Linked DNA regions of Oryzias latipes. The protein of the gene in region 1 purifies or fractionates together with the protein of each later gene. This does not show direct contact. Links are inferred from orthologs where the notes say so. Each region holds a gene or a part of one and is shown on either strand. Other genes may lie near its edges.

Region 1 (6,481 bases):
TTTGTTCACTTAAAAAGAAGTCTTTTCTCTTATTGGTAGGTTCATTTGAACATTGAGAGATAGAAAATCAATGAATTAACTTTAGACATTTTACTTTTATTTGGGTTTCATCGAGGTAAACAAGTATTTGATCCCTCTAGCCTGGAAAACGTAGTCCTTTTGTGGCAAAACCCTGATTAGTAGCACAGAGGTCAGATGTTTCTTGGAGTTTCTGCACATAGGAGGAATTTTGGTCCACTTTTCTTTGCAAATGACTTCTAAATTATTCAAGTTTGTCTTCTGAGCTTCAGCTCTCTTTCTGGAGACTGGCTGAAGCCACTCCATGACCATTATATGCTTCTTTAGCCGTTCCTTGTATGTTTTGGGTCATGACCCTGTTGGAGAACCCATCCACGAACCATTTAAGCCTCCTGGTGGAGAGAAGCTGGTTGTCACTCAGGATTTGACAGAATATGGCTCCGTCAATCCAGAAACACCCCCAAAGCATTATGTTTCCACCTCCATGCTGAACAACTTTTTTCCCTCCAGACTCATCGGGTTAAGTTGATGCCAAACAGCTGATCACAGCACCTTGTCCCAATCCCTCTCTACTCTAAAACCATGAAGGTGTTCATTGGTAAACATGTGGTGGGTCTGCACATGTGCCTTCTTAAGCAGGGCTACTTTGCCAGCACTGGAAGATGTTAAACCATGGTGGTTTCATGTGGTTTCCATGGTGACTATGGTTCCAGCTGCTTTGAGATCATCAACTAATTCCTGCCGTGTTGTTTTAGGCCGTTCCTTACTGTTGTCATAACTGTGGAAACCCCCCCAGGTGAGACTGTGTCTGGAGCCTCAAACCTACAGGTGGATTGATGGTCATGTTCTTGTGTTTTGGCACAATTACACAAACGGATGTCACCTTAACCTCCAGCTTCATGCCAATGGTTTTGTAGTCCATTCTGGTCTGCTTAAAATCAACTGAAAGCTCTTTAATCTTTCCCATGTTGGAGAGTTTGGAGTCTGACTGATTCTATGGACAGGTGTCTTTTCTACAGGTGATTATTTCAAACAGGTGCCTTCAATTCAGGTGACAGGTTGATCAGGATAGTCTAACTGGTCTGTGTGAACCAGAACTCTTAATGGTTACTAGGGGATCAAATACCCATTTCCTTTACTGAATCTATAAGCAGCTTCATCAAGAACTAAACATCAACAACAAGCATGACTTTGTGTCAGGGTGAAGATGAGCTGCTAGCAGCTTCGCTTGTGTTACCGTTAATGTTGTCGCAGTAATAGAAGTGCTCATCATTGAGGGATGGGCAGGCTGAGACCAGCTCCTGCAGCCCCACCTCAGTGATGGAGAGACAACCAGACAAGTTGAGATGCTCCATGACGGGAAGCCCTCCATGCTGGGACAAAGTCCTGAAACACAGATGGAGGGGGAGGTGAGTGGTGCTACTCCAGACTTAGCCTTATCAGGACGCTGTTTCCCATAGCAACTGCTATGGAGAGTATAACGGCTCTCATTGGTCAATGAGGCCATTGATTTCTGATAACTGATCCCTCATTGGGGATTAAATCTTTGCATAATAATGCTGGTTTCTCCACCTTAGTTAACACCTCAGGTGTTGAAATAGAAGCGTTTTTTACTGTGTTAGTGAGTCTTTGTGTAAAGAAATAGAGGATAACTACCTCAAGCCCAGGTCGGTGATTTGGTAACATCCAGAGAGACTGAGAAATTTCAGCGCCCGTTTAGCGGGTGAGCAGTCAGTCCTGTTTTCAGGCTGCAGACACTGCAGTCCTCCCAGTGGAGGGCATTTAGTCCGAGATCCTGCAGTGGCGTTCCTGCCGCAGCCCGACACGCTTTCGCGCACTGTAAACGTCCTGAGGGCGATGTCACCTGAGCAGCAGGTGGAGTGACCGCAGAATATTTCCCCCGACATGGCGTACTGCTGATGCAAATATGAGGCGTCCGACCCCATCCGGTGGCCTTGCCTTCTGCTCGTCCTGCAACAGCAAGAGCCGCCCATCAGCTGCGTCTCTACGAAGCTTTCAGGGAGGGGCATCCCGCCCCGCCGGCTCCACGCTGCAGCGTCCTCAATATCGGCCAGGTCGGAGGTCTCCACAACCCACACCGGCGTTGGGATGCAGGGCCCCCCCCAGCGCCGAGTCCCGTACTTGAAAACGATGGCCTGCTTCTTTCGCTCCAACGCGTGCAGGTTTCGCTCATCGATGTGCGCGGTGAAACTTTTCAACTGTGAGGTTTTGTCAGAGCAGGAGGAGGAGGAGGAGGGGAGTTCCCCTAACCCGGTAGACAGCTTCTTCAGGGTGAGATCGGTGATCTTCTCGCATCCCGACAAATCCAGGTGCTCCAGAGAACGACAAGCTCCCAGGAATGACCAGCTGGAGAAAAATGAGAACAAAGCTCAGTGTTCTGAGTTCCACGCAGACACAGATCCACATACATGTACGGTATATTTCTAATATCTATCTAATGACATAGTATTGTGAACTATTAGTACATATCGTTGAAAATTCAAAAACTACATCTTCATGAAGAGATAGCTTTGTTGTGTGTAATATTATTTGTGTAGTAATACATAATAATACGGGAACCACGGAGCCGGCAGCAGCTGCAGGGGCAGGACAGCCTAGTCAGACGGTCTCGCTCGCCATCGAAGAGGCACGCGGGGCGACCCGGGCCTCAACTAACACTCCTGTGGGCGAGAGTGGTCCTCTGCCGGGGACTTGACGCGCCGTGGGGCAGAAACAATGTTCTCAGTGTATTTAAACACACGTGTGGAGTGATGCATGTATCAGAGGGTGTTCTATTGGCCTTTCTGCATGTCAATCAAGTCATATACTTCTTGGAGAGGATTTTGATTCGCTAATTTAATTATATACATTTAAATTTGGGGGATTTTTTTATCTATGATGGCGCGTGATCTACCCACATGTCCTTTATCGCAATCGATGTAATGATGACCCCTGAAGAAGTGGTCCGACTGACTGTGATGTCATCCGTAGAAAATGATTTATTTCCAGCTCCAACCAAATGAAGTCAATTCTGTCGCCATTCAATCCACAGAACCAGATTCTAATTTAAAGGAAGTATTTTGTACCTGTCAAACACAGAGTCTGTCACATCAGTTTGAGTCAGATCCAGATGAGTGATGTTGGGGCAGAGGCTGACCATCTGACGGACCTGGAAAAGACATTTAAGCTTTCAGGCTCAGCTTAACATCCATCAAATCTCATGGCAGCAATGCAACTCTGACTGGACAAGCGCCGCATACCATTTTGCTTGAGACTGTTGAACTGTAGGCCAGAATAATGGATTTGACTGACGGACCCACAGCAGGGAGGAGGTTCTGGATGATCCCATTCAGGAGCTTCTTCTCTCTCTGCACCATATTGATAGCAAGCGAGCCCTCTGTGTGACCCGAAACATCTGACGAGAAGAACACTATCTAGTCACTACCTCATGAACACAATAAACTACCACACACTGCAGGTCCATCCACCTTCAACATTGGAACTTTTTTTTCCCCACTCAAACCCGGGGAAAAAACAATAGTCATGATGAAACTATTCACAGCACACACACATGACCCTGGTAACGTTCAGCTCATGCATGTTTGAAGTGATTATTGGCCCTCACCTGACTCGTCAATATCAGCGTCCTCGTCCCACTTCTGATAAGCTCGACCCTCATTCTCTCGACTCCTCACCCACTCTTCATCTGGCTCCTGATCCAGATCCCCAGGAGGGCCATTATAATGATCGCCTGTGTTTTAAAAAAAACTTTAGAAACAAGGATGCCTAAGCATCTACAAGATCATCTTTACCAGGAAAAACAACTACTTGGTTCAAAAAGAAAAGATGAAAACCATGAATTGAGGTTTACCTCGGGCCCAGCGAACAGGGTAAAGGTGCCTCCACAAAGAGCCGGTCTTGGCCAGCTGCCACCACAAACTGCACACCTGACTGCAGCGACACAGATCCTTAGGGCCCAAATAATGGAACAACCTCAGCATTATTTCTGCAGGAAGGTGTGAGATGTTGGTTGACATATTCTGCTTCTTCTCCAGGTCTGAGGATGGAGGGGGGAAAAAAAGAAGAGCATGTGAATGTTTTAAATACCACAATGATAAAATTATCTCAAAATAATCCATGTTCTGTACAAATATTGTTGGTATTTTACAGCAAAAAAAAAAAGGCTTCAAGTATCCTGCTAATTGTGTTTCCTATCACAGACGAACACAACTCCATCCATTCATTCATTTTCTATGTCTGCTTAATCCTGTCATAGGTCACAGGGATGCTGGAGCCTGTCCAGCTATGGTTGGGCTCCACTCTGGACAGTTTATCAGTTCATTAGAGGGCTGAACACAACTAACCCCAAATAAAGCCTTAACTAGTCTCATATTTTGGTAACGGGTCATAATATCTATCTGTTGCTGTTCATTTAAAAAAAAAACTGTTTCTCTGCTGGATTACATAAAAAGCCTTTTTAAAACATGACTGAAGATAAGACAAAAAAAGAAGTGTGTGGCCTTCAACAGACGCTTGACTCATCTTTGTCATGCACTTAACTGGAAACCTGTAACAAGTTTAGTCATTTGGACAAACACTCACCGTAGTCTGTCTTCTCATGATCCGAATATTTAAAGGCTTTCTGCAGCTCCTCAGCCTGCGACCACAGACGGAATCCCTTCAGCACACCGGCAGCACAGTCCCCGTGCTGTTGGCTGTGGTGCTGGGCTATCACCTTTTTCTTGATGTCTTTCAGCTCCTCGTAGGTGAAGTACTCCATGAGCATCGGCTGAAACACCTGCAACACATTTCCGTTAAAACACAGCTTGACGCTGAAAAGGATGAACAGGTGACATTTTTGATTATTGCTTATCCCGCATGATTATCTTGTACCTCCTCCTCTTCCTTCATGTGGGGCAGGAAGTCCTGCGTGAACGCCTCAAGTCTCTCCTTCAGCTGACGAGCATAGTTAAGCTGCTCACATTCATTCTAAAACCACAGAACAGACAGAAATCCCAGATCTTAGATCAGCTGCTCTTGGACAGTCATAAGCAGACGTTTACCACGCTTTAGGTATTTTGCATGATTCTAAAAGTTGCGCAAGGAAAATTTAACTTCTTTGTTTTCCTCGTCTGAGCTGGCTTCCGGCTCACGACTGTACAGCCGGTCAGCTCCAATATTGTAAAGAAAAAACCTGCATAACTATAGTTAAAAGACCACCGGGAACACTTTCAAAATAGACCAAGGATAATCGGGCTGGGTCTCTAATAGAATTTGAACTGTTAGTTTATAACCATCCTAGAGCCCTCAGGTGCAGGTCTGCTGGTGATCCCCAGGGTCAGAACAAAAAGCCATGGCAAGCCCACATTTTCAGCACTGTGGGCCTCACCAGTGAAGCAGCCTGCCTACTGATGCAAGGGCTGCATCCTCTGTGGAGGTTTTTAAGATAAACCTTAAGTAATCTTTTCAGCTTAGCTTTTAAGTTTTACAAGTAAGTTTTACATTTCCACATGTTTTAATACAGATTCATGGACTGTATCTCTGCTGGTTTCTGTATCCTGCGAATGTGTGTTGGGGGCTTTTATTATTATTATCGCACTATTTTTACAATTATTTTTATTGTTTTATTTTTTCTTTGAGGTGTACTGCAACAAGAAAAGTTTAATTGGAATTTATTCTCCCCAATGGTTTGCCACAGGAGCTAGACTTTTAGATGATCAGAGATTGTGAATACGAGTCAAATCTTCCCACACTCAATGTTTTGTGCTTTTTTTTTAAACAGATATTTCAACAATTTACAAATAAGTCTCTGCTGCAAATTAATATCTGTAGAAACTTTCAGACAGGAAGCAGGATCTCACTCCAAACTAAATAAAGAGATATTAGAGAGTTTGGCAGAGCGGATGTTCCAATTTACACAAATTCACGAATCCAAGAAAGCAGCTGAGATTGGAGTTTGCTGGAGGCTTGAGCCAAAACAATAACTTTTTATCTACTGTTCTTCAAAGGCTAAAGTTCGTGTCTGTTCAATAAATTATAATTATCCCAACAAAATGACAGCTCTGATGTTGCTCTAGTATCTTGTTAGTGGTTAGCCTGACAGTTACTCTAATAACAGATTACTACACACTGTGGATCAGCGGGTGCATGCATGCATTTGCTGAAGGGGTTATTTAGTTGCATCGAGTGCATGAAAGAAATGTAGGTTTTTGGCATATTTACCTTGACATTGTGCAGCCCCTTTTCAAACAGGGACAGCATCTCTGACAGTTTGTCATCAGAGTGCACGTTATAAACTGTGCAGCAACGTTGTTGCAGCTGGCCAATGATGTACTCATTCTCAATCTGCTCGTGCATCTTGAACTCCTTGAAGGTCGCGCACAGAGACTTGAGGAAGGAGCGGAAATCATTGTTGTTGGAGAAGTTAGTTTTTGACAGCTGTGGAAGAAAAAACAACAGACTC
Region 2 (7,794 bases), on another chromosome or scaffold:
CAGCCCCTCACAACCACAAGCTAACATTAGCGGTGCAACAAAAATGGCGAGCAATCCAGTTTAGATCCAGATTCCAGCTCAGACGAGGAAAACAGAGACGTTCATGGATGTGTTTGTCTGCAGGTGGATGATCAGAATGGAGCAGAGCAGGGTGCTTGTAGCCCCCCCCCAGTATTTTCTACGACACCAAAATGATCTTTTTCAAACTGCATCTTTTCAGTCTTTAAAGAGATTTCTGAAACGTTTGATGGGAATAGTTGTGGTAAAGCAGAAATAAGAGGAAACGCCTGGTTGGTAAGAAATAGAGCACATAAAACGACACATTTCAGACCGGAGGAACAACTTCAGTCTGTTTCTCTCAGCAGCAGCAAAACCATTTCTCCCTTTTTGAGTTTGGATGAGACGCCTGCATTCCTCAGCAGCGTCCTCTTCAACGCTTTTGCAGCTCTGAGGGTTGATGGTCGTTGATGGTCGTCCATCATCGCCTGCGAGCCTTCAGCTGTCAAACTCAGGCGCTTGTGGAAGCTCATCAGCAGCAAAAACCTTCACATTAGCAGCTGAACGAGGCTGACCTGACCAAAGTCGTGACCACAAACAAGGATTCACTCACACATTTCATCGCCCAATTTCTGCTCCGTCACACAAGCGTCTGCAGGTTGGAGAGTCAGCGATTGCCGCAGGGCATGATGGGACTTGTTCTCTGTTAATGAGGGAGTGTCTGACGGCAAGCGAAGCAGGAAATGAGTCACAGTAAAATACGAGAGGAATGTTTGCTCCGACAGCCTCAATAAATTCTAGACACTAACGTGCAAAAACACACTCAGCCCCAGTGGTTTGATGCTCTAAGCAATGTGAACGGTGGCTGCCTGGAAAAACTTGGTTTTATCCTGTAAAACTGGAGTAAACGCCAACGCAACACATATATGGACACACGCCAAGGTGACCTTATATGACCACAGCTATCACTGTCAAAAACACAGAAAGGTTCAAAGCAAAACCCTCAGAGAGACTGCTGTAAACATGTTTCAAAATAAGAGCATACAAATAAAAAAGCAAAAATAGAAATCATTTCAAAATAAAACCAAGGTAGAATTAGAGTGCAAGCACATTCATGTAAACATCTTCGCTTAAAGAAGCACTGCCATGAAAATGGAGTTTTAAACGTGTTCTTGTAGCATCTTTTGATGATGGGAGGACAAATGGAAAGAAAATGAAGCTCAAAATTCCGTTTCTGAGTGTCTTCTTTATTCAAATCAATGCAAATCGGGAGCAGACGGAAAAAAACGTGGTTTGGAAAACATCGTATTTGTGATGAAGAAACAAGCTTCCTGCTCCGCCCCATTCTTAAGCATCCACCTGCATGAACGACGAACGTTTTATTTTAAAGAACTCCTGCCACGCCGCAGGAGCTCCGATCAAAGGTTCAAATGGAGAACATTTCCTTCAAAGCAAGCTGTTTGACTCCCTTTTGTTTTTTTGCATTTGGCCTCACAGGTCGACCGTCCTCTACACTCTCGTGTGCTTCAACTTCAGCCGGACCTTTCGCCAGGTTAAGAGATGCACAAACATGGAATAAACAATAGGTTTTGAACTTTCTATACACGCATTCTACAAATAAATGTGCGTTGAGTGTGTATGTATGCACTGCAGAAGATTCCCAAACTTTTGGGCGGATTACAGACAATACTTGTGCAAACAAAGGAGAGCAGCTATTCCACCACTTCTTATGCAGGTCAAGGTCAAACGCAGAGGAGGCCACGTTCCTGTTTGCACCCTAAAACCAGCGTTCAGAGGCGCTGCTGCATCACGTGATCACGTGATCCATTCAGTCACAGGTTCCTCAGGTACCAGCTCACCTGCACGCATTCAAATGTGTGTCCTTTCCGGGTTCAAGTCCAACCAAATCAGCTAAAGCTCGTTTGCATAGTAGTTAGGGTCAAACAACAGTGTCAGGTGTCAAATAGTTGAAGATAAATGTCAAATAAGAACATAAATAATACCCCCCCCCCCCCCCCCCCCCCAGGTTTAATTAACCTACATTTAGCTCGTTTTCTTGTCTTTTTCTATGACTCTGCTGCATTTGCTACTCTAAAGTGTCATATAAACAGCAAACTCCGAACCCACCGTTCCCGGACGAACCTCGGCTCTGTGACTCGTCCCAGCCTCGCCAGTACCTCCCCACGCATCCTCCCATGGCCGGAGGGGCTGTGGTCGCTCCCCGCGGGGCTTCACTGGCTTCCAACGGGGCCCATGGCGACGAAGAACCGAGTCCGGCGAAGATCAGAACCCGCAGGTGCAGCGCTGCTAGCCGGATATGTCATCCGGTGACAACAAGGCGGTGAAATCCGGTGGGAACCGTTAACAACTTTTTTTCTGTTGTCTGAATAACCGGTAAAGTTCGGTTTAGTTGCAACTGTAAACAGAAAAGCTTTCTTGCTAACAGGCTAACTGGGCTAACCAGCTAGCTCCGCCAGAAAACACAAACTTCCGCGTGCTCGATGTCATTTCCCCGAGTTTTATCTTCCCTATAAAAGGGTCTGGAGGTAGAGCTTCACTCGGAGCTGAATGCAGAACCGTATCACGCCCTTCACGCGCTCCCGGACTACTTTTCTTCAAAAGACTTGGAAAAACTCCTCACTTTCTGTTGCTGCTGGTTGAGAAAGTGTTCAGAAACGAGCTAAGGCAGGCGAACTTTTCTGCACATGCGCAGACAACCAGGCAGGTGGGTCTGAAGGAAACGTAAATAAATGATAGCAGTGACGTCACAATAATGGTTCAAACCGTCTTTGATATTAGGAGAGAAAAAACAATACACAATGACAATAAGTACATTTTAAAAGGGCACAAAGTAAAAATACTATCAATAAAGTACAGATTCTTATGAATATTTCACTTTTTTGTAGGTATTTTTCAAACTTATCCAAACAAATTAGGATTTTTCCATATAGTTTAAAAAAATACTGAACAAAAACGTGTGAATTCCAGTTTATTATAACGTCACATGAAAACTTAGATAGAATGAATGCAGTCATACGATGAACAAAAAAATATTTTACGTAGTTTAATATCTTCTGGGATTTTAATCCAGATCATGTTATCAAACGGTTTCAGCTTTTAGTCCAGCTTGAAACATATTTCACTGCTTAATTAATGCACTTATAAAAGTATGACATCTCCAATAACACCTTTATGACCAAACAAAAATGATCAAGCTTAATAAATTGTTACATTTATACTTGTTTATGTTTTTTGAGATACTTTGAATGTAATGGTGTCTTGGACATAAATGTGTCGTTCTTTTGTGTAAAATCTCTATATTTATTTTATTTAAAAGCACAAACAATATTTTTTAAAAATATATTTATATTTTTTCTTAACCAAGAAAAAAAAAGTTGGACTTTGGCGTTTGAACTTTCTGCACATGCGCAGTGTCAGCAGCGTGGAGGAAGCGCGATGGCTGCGGACGGTGCCTTGCTGCTGTCTCTGGTGGAGGAATTCGTCTCCGGATTGCAGGACAGCAAAGCAAAGGACGCCGCTAAAGGTACAGCAGTCGTGTCCGGTGTTTGTCCTCACATTTACCAGCGGGTTTGTGTGGAAAACTGAGCTGGAGCCGTTAGTTTCCCATAAAGGTGCGTGGGGGTTAACTAGCTAAACTTAGCGTCACAACATCCTGTGCGGGATGCTGCGTGAGAAGCTCCTCCTGACACTAAACATGTCATGAATCTGCCCTTTTTCCGGGGCGGCAGGAACTCGCAGCTATCTTTGTTTACTGAAACCATGACTGTACCTGCAGTCTGCTGTGGTCTCGTGCCTGCTGCTAGCTAGCTGCTGGCTGGGCGCGAGGAGGATCCTGTCATTGAACCCTCAACCCCCGATTTACCTTTGATCCCGAGTTTGTCTGTGTGGGCAAAGCAGGGAAACACGTCCAGACTACCGAACCGATTCGGTTCCGATTCAGCACAGACCTGATAACTTATGACGTATCAAATTAAAGGAGTTTTAATTATACCCAAAGTAAACAGAGGGGGATCTTTCAAAATAAAACGATCACTTATGTCAATCAAATTTACTGAAGTTTGTTTTTCCCCTGATACTATATTTATTTAAAGGCTGTTATGACGGAATACTGAGGCCACCATGAAAGAAAAGCAAATATTTGACAATGAAGTTGTAACATTATAAGAGAAAAGTTCAAATTTTTACAGGAATTCAGTCGTGAAATTATGAGGAAAAAAGTCCAAACTTTATTATGAGAATTGAACTGTAAAATAATCTGAGAGAAGTCTAAATTTGACGCAAATAGTCCTAAAATTTTCCAAAAGAAATGCATATTAAATCAGTTTTTAGTTTTTTCCTTTTAAAATTCAGACTTTTATTTATTTACTTATTTGAAAAAGTATGACTATTTCCTTGCAATATTGCAACTTTTGAAGTAAAACATTTACAGCTTTATGTTAGAAAATTGTCGTTTTCCCTTTTTTTAAAGTTTTTTCTTGTACATTTTTTTTCCTTGTAAAATTTTGTCTTTATTTTTCTCAGAATTGTACAACTTTATTCTATATATGTACTCATTGTTTCCGTTACCGTGGTCCTATTTGCACGTAAGGCGGCGGGCGCGTTCTTACTTCGACCTCCACTGCAGCGGCAAAGGAAAGCGATAAATACGCTGATGGTTCACATCAAGCAGCCAATCAGAATTGAGACCCGGACCGTGGTATAATATGGATTATTTAAGCTTTTGTTGACATATTATTGATTCTTGCTCAGGTGTCAAAGATGGAGCGTTTACAGTTTTGCAGTTAGTGGAAGCGTTGGGGTGAGCCTTTGTCTTTTTCTCCTTTACTTTTTTACAAAAACACAAAAAAGTGACGCCGTTCTTGTTTTCAATCGACTTCCCGTCCACCCGCAGGCCCAGCCTGACCAGCTCGCAGCCGCAGACTCGCGCCCGCGGCGTCCAGCTGCTCTCCGAGGTCCTACAGGACGGCCGTGCAGAGCTGTCGCAGAAAGAAGGTCAGAACACCAAGCCTTTTCGTCTGCTCAAAGTGAGGAGCGTTGTTGACATCCTGTTGTCCCATCGCAGTGGAAGTGCTCATGGCTTTCTACCAGAACCGCCTCAAAGACCATCACGTCACCACTCCGCCCGTCCTACGGGGGCTGCTCGCCTTGGTAAACTTGGGGGACCCGGTTTCAGACGGAGGCGCTGCTGGAGCCTCCTTGTAAGTTTGTGTTGGTTTCTCCTCAGACCAAGTGTGCGGCGCTGCCTCCCGGCTCGGCCGTGTCCATGCTGAGGTCGCTGTTCCAGGACGTCCACGTCCAGGTGAGGTTCTCCATGAAGAAACCAGGATCTCCTCCACTTCCTGTTTTCCGGTAAAGGTCTGCTCCGTGCCGTTTGTCTCGAGGTCTATCTTGACGTTGTTGTTTTTTGTCTCTCAGTCGCTGATGCTTGCAGAGCGAGCGTGTGTCTACAACATGCTCACCAACCTGATGGAGACCAGGGAAGCCGGTAAGAGTCTTCCTCAAAGTGAAGGGGTTCTGTGCTGCCCGTCCCAGGAGATGCAGAGCCATCAGAAGCTTTATAAAGAGAGAGGCGCTTCTAGAGTAGAGGATCTAACCTGATCTAGAGGATCTAGCTGACATTTGTGAGACCGTGCTCTAGTGGTCACTTGGTGAACTGCGGGTCGCTCCAAACCAGTTTAGGCTTGTTTGATAAACTGAATTAATGATTTGATTATTTAAATTCTTTCTAATTTCTCCAATTGTCAATAACGTTTGTTTATAGTATCCATACAAATATCTGACACTCTATGCGTTTGGCGGTCTCTCACGTCCTCTCAATCCTCCATTCAGAGCTGAAGAGTTTGGGAGCCGACTTTGTCTTTGGTTTCGTCCAATCAATGGACGGCGAGAGAGACCCTCGCAACTTGCTGCTGGCCTTCAGGATCGCCAGAAACCTCATCGTCCAAGGATACGATCTGGGTGAGAAGACCTTCCTCCCCCCCCGTCTGTTGGTGATGTCACGGTTTCCTTCTCTCAACCTTCCTGTCTGCTGTCTCAGGTAAATTCGCAGAGGAGCTCTTTGAAGTGACTTCCTGCTATTTCCCCATCGACTTCACCCCGGTAAGTTCCTGTTGACGACGTCTGCAGACCGCCAGAGAAAACTGTTGCTCCTCCCCCCAAAAAACAAGTGTGATCTGGGCATTCGTGCTCCTCATTGGGGTCTCCATCCTCTCCTCTCTGGAGAAAAATCAGCTAAAGTAAAATATGTCGCTCTATTATCTTCAGGATCTGCTACATGTCCCTCTCTCTCCCTGTCTGTCCCTGCCACCCGAGAGCTGCACAAATTCATTAAAAAAACACGCTTTTGTCATAACGGTGCCTTTTATGTACGTTTGTCTCCATAGCAACCATTTCAATTTTTGGTCGTTTGAGGCCGACGGACAGATCAATGTCATTTTTAGAGGAATACATTTTTGGATTTCCTTAGCAACTGAGGTTTTTTGTCAACCCCGCCCACATTCCTAATATGTTCATATCTACAATGTCCTGGTAAAAAATGTGCGAGCAAAAGTTTAAGTCGCACTGCCCCCATCTGAAAATCGCCCAATTTTACACTTTGCCACCTTTTGCCATCCCATAATAATTTCAAAACTTACTTTAAATATCCCTGACATGTGTGTTTTGGTTTTGCCGGGTTTTTTTTGAGCCCCCGGAGATTGTGGGAGTGTCAGCAGCAGTGTCTGCAGCAGCGTCTGCAGGAGCGTCTGCAGCTGTGTCGGCAGCATCTGCAGCAGCGTCTGCAGCATCTGCAGCAGCGTCTGTGCAGATCTCTGACATGGTTCTCCAGGGTTCTGACATCTGAACTCTTTAGATCAGGACGCGATTCCAGGATAACTTTTCATCTAACCTGTCCTCCTATTCTTTTTCCAAAACCCCCTCCTGGTCCACTGCAGCCCCCCAACGACCCCCACGGCATCACCAAAGAGGAGCTGGTTCAGGCTCTGAGGGCCGTCCTCACCGGAACGCCAAAGTTTGCCGAGGTAACGACGGCGGGTCTGCTTCTTCTGACTCGATCCCCTGAGCAAACATTCTCCGGCAAACGTTTCTGTTCGGCTTCCCACAGTTTCTGTTCCCCCTCCTCATCGAGAAACTGGACTCAGAGGTTCAGAGCGCCAAGCTGGACGCGCTGCAGACTCTGGTGAGGAGACACGCCGTGACGCTGAAACAAGACACCAGTTTTCCTCCAGTCTCGTAAAGCAGCACAGTGCATAAACCCGTGCTTTTACTCTGAAAGGGTAAAGGGCGGGAAACCTTTTTCTGCAGAAAACGGACGTCTGAAGTGAATTTTTATTTCTTAATTTTATTTCACCTTTATTTACCGAAGAAATGTCCCATTGAGATCAAGAATCTCTTTTTCAAGGGAGTCCTGGCTAGAAGGAAACAATAAATTATATCTACAATAAAATGTAAACAATTAAAACAAAATAAATAAACACAAAAGCTGATTCAGCTCAGACATGCTGATGTTTAGATCTGCTGTCGCTGCAGTCGTTTGTTTTTTAGTTTTGGACAAAAGAGGAGATGGAAGAGTTCTGTGACGAAATAAAACACATTCTATTAGAAATCCTTTTCTAAACTATCTGTTATTTTGGGTCTTGGCTTAAAGAACCTGATCTTCCGGTGAACTCTCAGACGTTGCTTTCTTTCCGCAGAACGCATGTTTGTCGCGCTTCGAGCACAAGGACACGGCTGAGTTCCTTCAGGGCCTGTGGTCGTCGCTGCGTCGAGAGGTCGCCA
Region 3 (7,129 bases), on another chromosome or scaffold:
AGCTCCTAGCATTGCAAACATGACTGTGGCCAATACCCCAAGATGCATCACGAAAAGCATGTTGGGTAAGTATCTTGTGGGAATGGAATAGTATTTCGTCCGAACGAGATATTAATCTGTGGAAACAAGATATATTTTAATTTTTTGATGTCAGGACACGGGCTCCATACTTTCCGTTCTCAGTTTTCGCTGCTGAGCAGATCCTATTTATACGCGGGGGCGGGGCTTTGATCTCATTGTTCTTATTTATATGTGGGGGCGGGGCTTTGAGCTCATGATTTCCCATGTTTCCCAAAGAGCTCATGGTGTTCTCCTTCAGAACGGCGTTCTTTTATGTCGCGGCCTGTGCCCCTCCACTTTGACGTAGTCATTGAACTTTTCCCGCTCTCCCTCATTGGTTGATTATTTTCAGCGCGACTTTGTGCTTTTTGAGCTTGTCAATCAATCTCTTCTGCACGTGCAGCTAGCCAACGTAACGCAAATCTTCATCGTGATTAGATTCTTGTTTTTGTTCTAATACTGAACTCTTTTTCCATGAAGGTTTGAACTTTGAGAATTTAAACGAGAAAAAAAAGTGTAGAAAATGAAAAACCTGTTTTTTCCACCTGCGGAATATTGCTAAGATCAGAAATCTACTTTCTAAGAGTGATGCTGAAAAACTCATCCATGCATTTGTTCCGTCGAGGCTGGATTACTGTAACTCCTTGTTAGCAGCGTGTCCTAAGAGTTCCTTAAGAAGTCTCCAGCTTGTTCAGAATGCAGCAGCTAGATTGTTAGCAGGAACTAGCAGAAGAGATCACATCACTCCTCTGTTAGTTTCACTTCACTGGATCCCAGTTGATTCCAGAATCAAGTTCAAGATCCTCCTGTTAACCTATAAGGCCTTACATGGAATGGCCCCGTCCTATATTAAGGACCTCATAGTCCCTTACCATCCAATCAGAACACTTCACTCACTAAATGCAGGACTGCTTGTGGTTCCTAGAATTGGTAAAAGTACGGTTGGAGGTAGAGCGTTTAGCCACCAAGCCCCTGTCTTATGGAATAAACTCCCAGCTCATATAAGAGAGGCCGACTCAGTTTCTACATTCAAAGCTAGACTGAAAACATTCCTCTGTGGACTGGATTATTATCAGACTAGTTAGTATTCAGAGATTATTTAACTTAATGTGTTTCCTGTCTGCATTTTAACCCATCTTTGACCTGACATGACTCCAGCACCACACACACTTAAAGGCATGATCTGATCTCACTGCAACCACACGAACATTTTCAAGGGACCTCCAGATCCTGCCTGCACTACAACCAATCCACGTCTGTACCCAAAGCCAACCGACGATCTTTATTGAATTGTGTTCATGATCCTTTGATTTGATGTTTTACACTACATTTATCTGCACAAAGCCCATCGAGACGACTGTTGAGGTGATTTTGGGCTATACAATGAGCTATACAGTTTAGCTCGTGCTGGCTTGCAGCGCCTTCCGTCCGTGAAACCAGGGTTCGACTCCGGGCTGCTCCCTGTTCCCTTCTCTACCTCTGCCGGTTCCAAGTCCGGTTTGAGAAGGTTGCGTCAGGAAGGGCATCCGGCGTAAAACATTGCCAAATTTACCATGCGACTTGTTCGCTGTGGCGACCCCTGATGGGAGAAGCCGAAAGTGGAAGTAAGTAAGTAAATGAGCTCAAAGCCCCGCCCCCACGGAGTAATAGGATGAGTTCAGGGGTGAAAACTTGAAAGCTGAAAGCAAAGAGGGAGAAATGATGAAACAAGTAGAAAAAAAAATGTTCATTTTTTTATTATTTGGTCACAGTTTTATTTTTATTCAAGTTTTAAATGTACATTTTTTTTTCAAGTTATTAATATTTCTTGTAAGTTTACAATACATGTTTCAAAGGTATAATCTGGTTTTTCCTTTATTCTAAACCGAGTCTAATTGGACCCCACAGCAGATCAGCTTTTGTTACGTTTTCTGGCTGCAGTAAGACAAAAAACAGCTTTATAAGTTGGTCCAGGCATCAACATGACAGTCAGAGGTACTGGGGGGGTACTGGGGGGGTACTGGGGGGCGTGGAACAGCCCACTGGAATGAGAAGTGCACTTTCAGAGGTCCATTCAACTCCATGGACACCAGAGTTCAGGTGGTCCGCCTGCTGCTGGTCCCCCGTCAGCCATGAGGCAATGTCCTGGAACTGAAGTGTTGACAGAGAAACAGACTGACAAGGTCACCCTAAAGGTCGTGTCTCACAGCCACTACGCACGTGTTCCACGTATGAAATGTTGGTCATCCGTGATCCATGCGTGATCTATGTCATTTTTGTGAGATTCCTCCAGAAATGTGTGTCTTTCCAGGAGCGTTCCACGTTTGTCTAACAGACTTTTCATGCATGAACCACTGATGTGTAACTTTTAGATCACGTATACGGCGCACAGATCACGTTCAGATGACATCATTGATGCATGAATCACTGATGAATTACAGATAAACATCACAATAATCACACGCTTCATGTTCTACGTTGGTTTACGTGTTCTTAGCGTGTTTATTCCTACTTCTTCTGTGGTTTTAACGTGGTTCATTCCTGATACATCTGTGAACATTTCACCTAAAGACCACAACTTTCTCACTTATGATTCACGTCTGACCAGTTTACATCCAAACGTACGTAGAGGCTGTGGGACGCGGCGTTTACCTGCATCAGGAAGGACATTCCTCCCACCTGCAGGTGAGACGAGGACTTCCTGTTTAACCTCATGAAAAGGATTCAGTTATACAACTAAACCTTCTTCAGTTGTAGTTCTGATCTGGACAGACGGTCATCTGTGTTGCCGCTCAGAGACCGTTTCCTATGTTTGCAGCGGTTATGGAAAATGATTCAATCTTCTGGGCCGTGGTTCTGTCAGCTGTTTCCGTCAGAAAGCCGGCTTTAGTTTGCTGACATCTTGCGGATCATGTAGTTGAGGATTCCTCCGTGGTGGAAGTAGGTCAGCTCCACGTCGGTGTCAAACCTCATTCGCACTTGGAAGGTTTTCCCAGAGTCCAGCTGTGAGGGCAGGAGAAGCTGGTGAGACCGCCTCTTCACATTAGCACCCGTGAGACCGCCAAACCCACCTTCACATCCGCCAGCATCCTGGGCGTGAGCGGCTCTGGGATGCTGATGCTGTAGCGCTCCCGGCCCGTCAGGCCCAGGCTGTCCGCTGAGTCTCCTGGCAGATACTCCAGGGGGATGACTCCCATCCCCACCAGGTTGCTGCGGTGGATCCTCTCATAGCTCTCAGCCAGAACCGCCTTGATGCCCTGGCAGAGAGTCAGAGAAAACCCGTGAAACTCTGCCGGTAGAGTCTGAGCGACATCTCCCACAGAACGTCTTCTCACCAGCAGGAACGGGCCTTTGGCCGCCCAGTCTCTGGAGCTCCCGGAGCCGTACTCTTTCCCCGCCAGAACCAGCAGCGGCTCACCGGACTGCCGGTACCTCTCTGCAGCATCGAACACGTCCAGCTGCAGAAACAGAGGAAGTGGACTTTACACGGAGCGGCTGAAGAGAGAAAGTTAGAATGAGAGACACAGCACTCTGCTGACATCAGCATGAGGACAAAGGTCGAGTCCCACAGACACCACGTACATTTGGAGAACTGGTCATACCTGGAAAAAGTGACATACGGGGGTCTTTATGTTCACAGATGTATCAGGAATGAACCACGTTAAAACCACAGAAGAAGTAATTAATGCAGAAGTTAATGCACTTCGCAGAATTAACCGTCGGTGCGTTACTTTCTGATAATGCACACTTTAAAGGCCAGTACCCCGTTTATACCACGGTCACTAATAAAAGAAATAAATATTTAATCCAGTTTTAGTCCTTTATCCTAGTTATTTTTTCAGTTTGGATTCATTTTTTTCACAAAAAGCGGTCTATTTGGTAGGTGGTGCGGCGCGTTGTCACATTACCGGCTCAGCCGGCGCCGACCTCGAGTGCAGCGGCAAAGGAAAACGATATCTATGCTGATGATCACGATGTGTTCAACCGCTTGTTTTTGTCCAGATGATGAAGCTAACGTTTGTTTGAAAGAAGCCGGCGCCGTGATTCAGAACATTTAAGCTATGTGACCGGAACATGTTTTTGGGGCGTGCGGTTAACACTTTTTAATGCACACCCAGCAGCCAATCAGAATCAAGTATTCACTCAGACCATGGTAAAGTAGGAATAAACACGCTAAGAACACGTAAACCAACGTAGAACATGAAGCGTGTGATTATTGTGATGTTTATCTGTAATTCATCAGTGATTCATGCATCAATGATGTCATCTGAACGTGATCTGTGCGCCGTATACATGATCTAAAAGTTACACATCAGTGGTTTTCATCCTGTAAAAAGCTGAAACCCTCAACATTCATCTGAGCACATTGATGAACACAAAAAACACGTACGGATGACGTAGATCACACACAGATCACGGAAGACCGACATTCATACGTGGAAAACGTGCGTAGTGGCTGTGCGACACGGCCCTCCGCCACCAGTAACGTAAGCCTGACCAGTCCAGCATCGAACACGTATGTTTTTAGACGGCTGATTCCACAGAAAGGTAAAAAGCAAAGAGACGGCGAGCGACGGGACAAAGAGAGAGAGCGGCGGCAGCAGTCTGACCGTTTCTCCGCTCGGCAGGTGGACGGTCTGCGGCGCCTGCTTGCCCAGGAACTTGTTGAAGAGGCGGATGTTTGCGAACGTCCCTCTGGCCATGACGGCGTCGTTTCCTCGCCGCGAGCCGTACGAGTTGTAGTCTCGAGGAGTCAAACTGGAGAAACAGAGGAGAAGAAAAGAAGAAGAATAGCAGGAATTCTAATTCTGTTCTTTAGCGCCGCAGGACTCACACAAGTGTGTGCACAGAAAGAGACGGCACATTTACCCTCGGTCTGCCAGGTAACGAGCTGCCGAACTGTTCCTGGCGATGTTTCCGGCAGGAGAGATGTGATCGGTGGTGACCGAGTCTCCCAGGTTGAGCAGCACGTACGCATCCTTTATGGAGCGGGGGGGCTGCAGCTTCAGGGTCTGATGGGAGGAGTTGTGGTTGTAATGTGGTAGCAACACCATCATCACCATCATCACCATCATCACCATCATCACCATCAGCACCATCATCACCATCATCACCATCATCAACATCATCAACATCGTCACCATCGTCACCATCATCACCATCATCACCATCAGCACCATCAGCACCATCAGCACCATCAGCACCATCAGCACCATCATCACCATCATCACCATCATCACCATCAGCACCATCATCACCATCAGCACCATCAGCACCATCATCACCATCATCAACATCATCACCATCATCACCATCGTCACCATCAGCACCATCAGCACCATCGTCACCATCAGCACCATCATCACCATCGTCACCATCATCACCATCAGCACCATCGTCACCATCGTCACCATCAGCACCATCGTCACCATCGTCACCATCGTCACCATCGTCACCATCAGCACCATCATCACCATCAGCACCATCAGCACCATCGTCACCATCGTCACCATCAGCACCATCATCACCATCATCACCATCATCACCATCATCACCATCGTCACCATCAGCACCATCAGCACCATCGTCACCATCGTCACCATCAGCACCATCATCACCATCATCACCATCATCACCATCAGCACCATCGTCACCATCATCACCATCAGCACCATCGTCACCATCATGACCATCTACACCATCTGCACCATCTGCACCATCATCACCATCAGCACCATCATCACCATCATCACCATCGTCACCATCATCACCATCATCACCATCGTCACCATCATCACCATCATCAACATCATCACCATCATCACCATCGTCACCATCAGCACCATCAGCACCATCGTCACCATCATCACCATCAGCACCATCGTCACCATCATGACCATCTACACCATCTGCACCATCATCACCATCAGCACCATCATCACCATCTGCACCATCGTCACCATCATCACCATCACCATCAGCACCATCAGCACCATCAGCACCATCATCACCATCACCACCATCACCATCAGCACCATCATCACCATCATCACCATCGTCACCATCATCACCATCATCACCATCACCATCAGCACCATCATCACCATCATCACCATCGTCACCATCATCACCATCATCACCATCGTCACCATCGTCACCATCAGCACCATCATCACCATCAGCACCATCATCACCATCGTCACCATCAGCACCATCATCACCATCATCACCATCATCACCATCAGCACACACTGGCTTCCTGCTGTTTTATTCAGCTTCCTCATCGCCACATGTGATGCAGATTTTCAAAAATATCTTTCTGGGAGAACATGAGAAGTTTTAGAAACATCTTTACCAAACCCTCAAAGAACGGTGGAGACTTGATGTAAGTGGACTTGGGATCCCAGGTGTACAGCTTGTCAGAGGGAGCCTCCAGAGCGTTCCAGCGTTCGTTCACTTTCTGCAAACACAAACATGCAGATCCATGATCCTCATCAACTCGTCTCTGTTAGAAGCTGCCAGCGGTTACCTCGATCTTCTGGTAGACTTCTCTGAACATGGACGGAATGACAAACTCTTTTTCCACGGCCTGGATCTCCTCCCGCGTGGGCCAGATGTCCCTCAGGTAGACGTCTTTACCGTCACAGTTGGTGGCTGTGGAAAATGAAACGATGCATGACCGCCATGGCAGTGCACGCTCACAGCGCTAAACCCTGGAGCCGGGACTGCGACGCGGGTTTGGACCGGCCCCCTCACCGATGGGCTCCGTCTCAAAGTCGATCCTCACGGTGCCGGCAATCGCATAAGCGATGACCAGCGGCGGAGAAGCCAGGTAGTTGGCCCTGGTGTTGGGATGGACCCGGCCCTCAAAGTTCCTGTTCCCTGACAGGATGCCGGCGGCCACCAGGTCCCCCTGAAGCACAGACCAGCATCAGCACCTCACAGGCAACCAAGGTCCAGCTACGGGAGACGGGGACAGACTGTTGGTACCTGGGTTATGGCCTCTACCACCGCTTCTGGCAGCGGCCCGCTGTTGCCGATGCACGTCATGCAACCGTAGCCGACCACTTCAAAGCTAGCAGGAACAGCA

The links.
Region 2: the proteins of fbxl5 (region 1) and mms19 purify together in Homo sapiens (affinity purification with mass spectrometry; 4 studies listed by BioGRID and IntAct, counting the BioPlex papers as one, with this or other methods). This does not show direct contact. The link is inferred for Oryzias latipes from reciprocal best matches to the Homo sapiens genes FBXL5 and MMS19.
Region 3: the proteins of fbxl5 (region 1) and aco1 purify together in Homo sapiens (affinity purification with western blotting; 3 studies listed by BioGRID, with this or other methods). This does not show direct contact. The link is inferred for Oryzias latipes from reciprocal best matches to the Homo sapiens genes FBXL5 and ACO1.

The regions. Positions count from the first base shown.
Region 1 is NC_019862.2:28,341,791-28,348,271, reverse strand, and holds part of fbxl5 (F-box/LRR-repeat protein 5), read right to left. Parts: intron 6,457-6,481; coding exon 6,241-6,456; intron 5,008-6,240; coding exon 4,912-5,007; intron 4,817-4,911; coding exon 4,621-4,816; intron 4,076-4,620; coding exon 3,890-4,075; intron 3,770-3,889; coding exon 3,644-3,769; intron 3,434-3,643; coding exon 3,279-3,433; intron 3,188-3,278; coding exon 3,105-3,187; intron 2,386-3,104; coding exon 1,675-2,385; intron 1,405-1,674; coding exon 1,256-1,404; intron 1-1,255.
Region 2 is NC_019877.2:1,647,067-1,654,860, reverse strand, and holds the start of mms19 (MMS19 nucleotide excision repair protein homolog), read left to right. Parts: upstream 1-2,614; 5' UTR 2,615-2,722; intron 2,723-3,429; 5' UTR 3,430-3,453; coding exon 3,454-3,541; intron 3,542-4,767; coding exon 4,768-4,816; intron 4,817-4,909; coding exon 4,910-5,010; intron 5,011-5,080; coding exon 5,081-5,166; intron 5,167-5,242; coding exon 5,243-5,317; intron 5,318-5,433; coding exon 5,434-5,503; intron 5,504-5,847; coding exon 5,848-5,976; intron 5,977-6,055; coding exon 6,056-6,117; intron 6,118-6,950; coding exon 6,951-7,037; intron 7,038-7,120; coding exon 7,121-7,195; intron 7,196-7,709; coding exon 7,710-7,787; intron 7,788-7,794. Other genes in the region: ubtd1 (ubiquitin domain-containing protein 1), read right to left, coding at 2,125-2,194. UniProt on the Homo sapiens protein: Key component of the cytosolic iron-sulfur protein assembly (CIA) complex, a multiprotein complex that mediates the incorporation of iron-sulfur cluster into apoproteins specifically involved in DNA metabolism and genomic integrity.
Region 3 is NC_019876.2:30,066,026-30,073,154, forward strand, and holds the end of aco1 (cytoplasmic aconitate hydratase), read right to left. Parts: intron 7,115-7,129; coding exon 7,030-7,114; intron 6,953-7,029; coding exon 6,796-6,952; intron 6,694-6,795; coding exon 6,569-6,693; intron 6,500-6,568; coding exon 6,395-6,499; intron 5,052-6,394; coding exon 4,909-5,051; intron 4,798-4,908; coding exon 4,650-4,797; intron 3,498-4,649; coding exon 3,375-3,497; intron 3,297-3,374; coding exon 3,111-3,296; intron 3,043-3,110; coding exon 2,926-3,042; 3' UTR 1,781-2,925; downstream 1-1,780. UniProt on the Homo sapiens protein: Bifunctional iron sensor that switches between 2 activities depending on iron availability. Iron deprivation, promotes its mRNA binding activity through which it regulates the expression of genes involved in iron uptake, sequestration and utilization.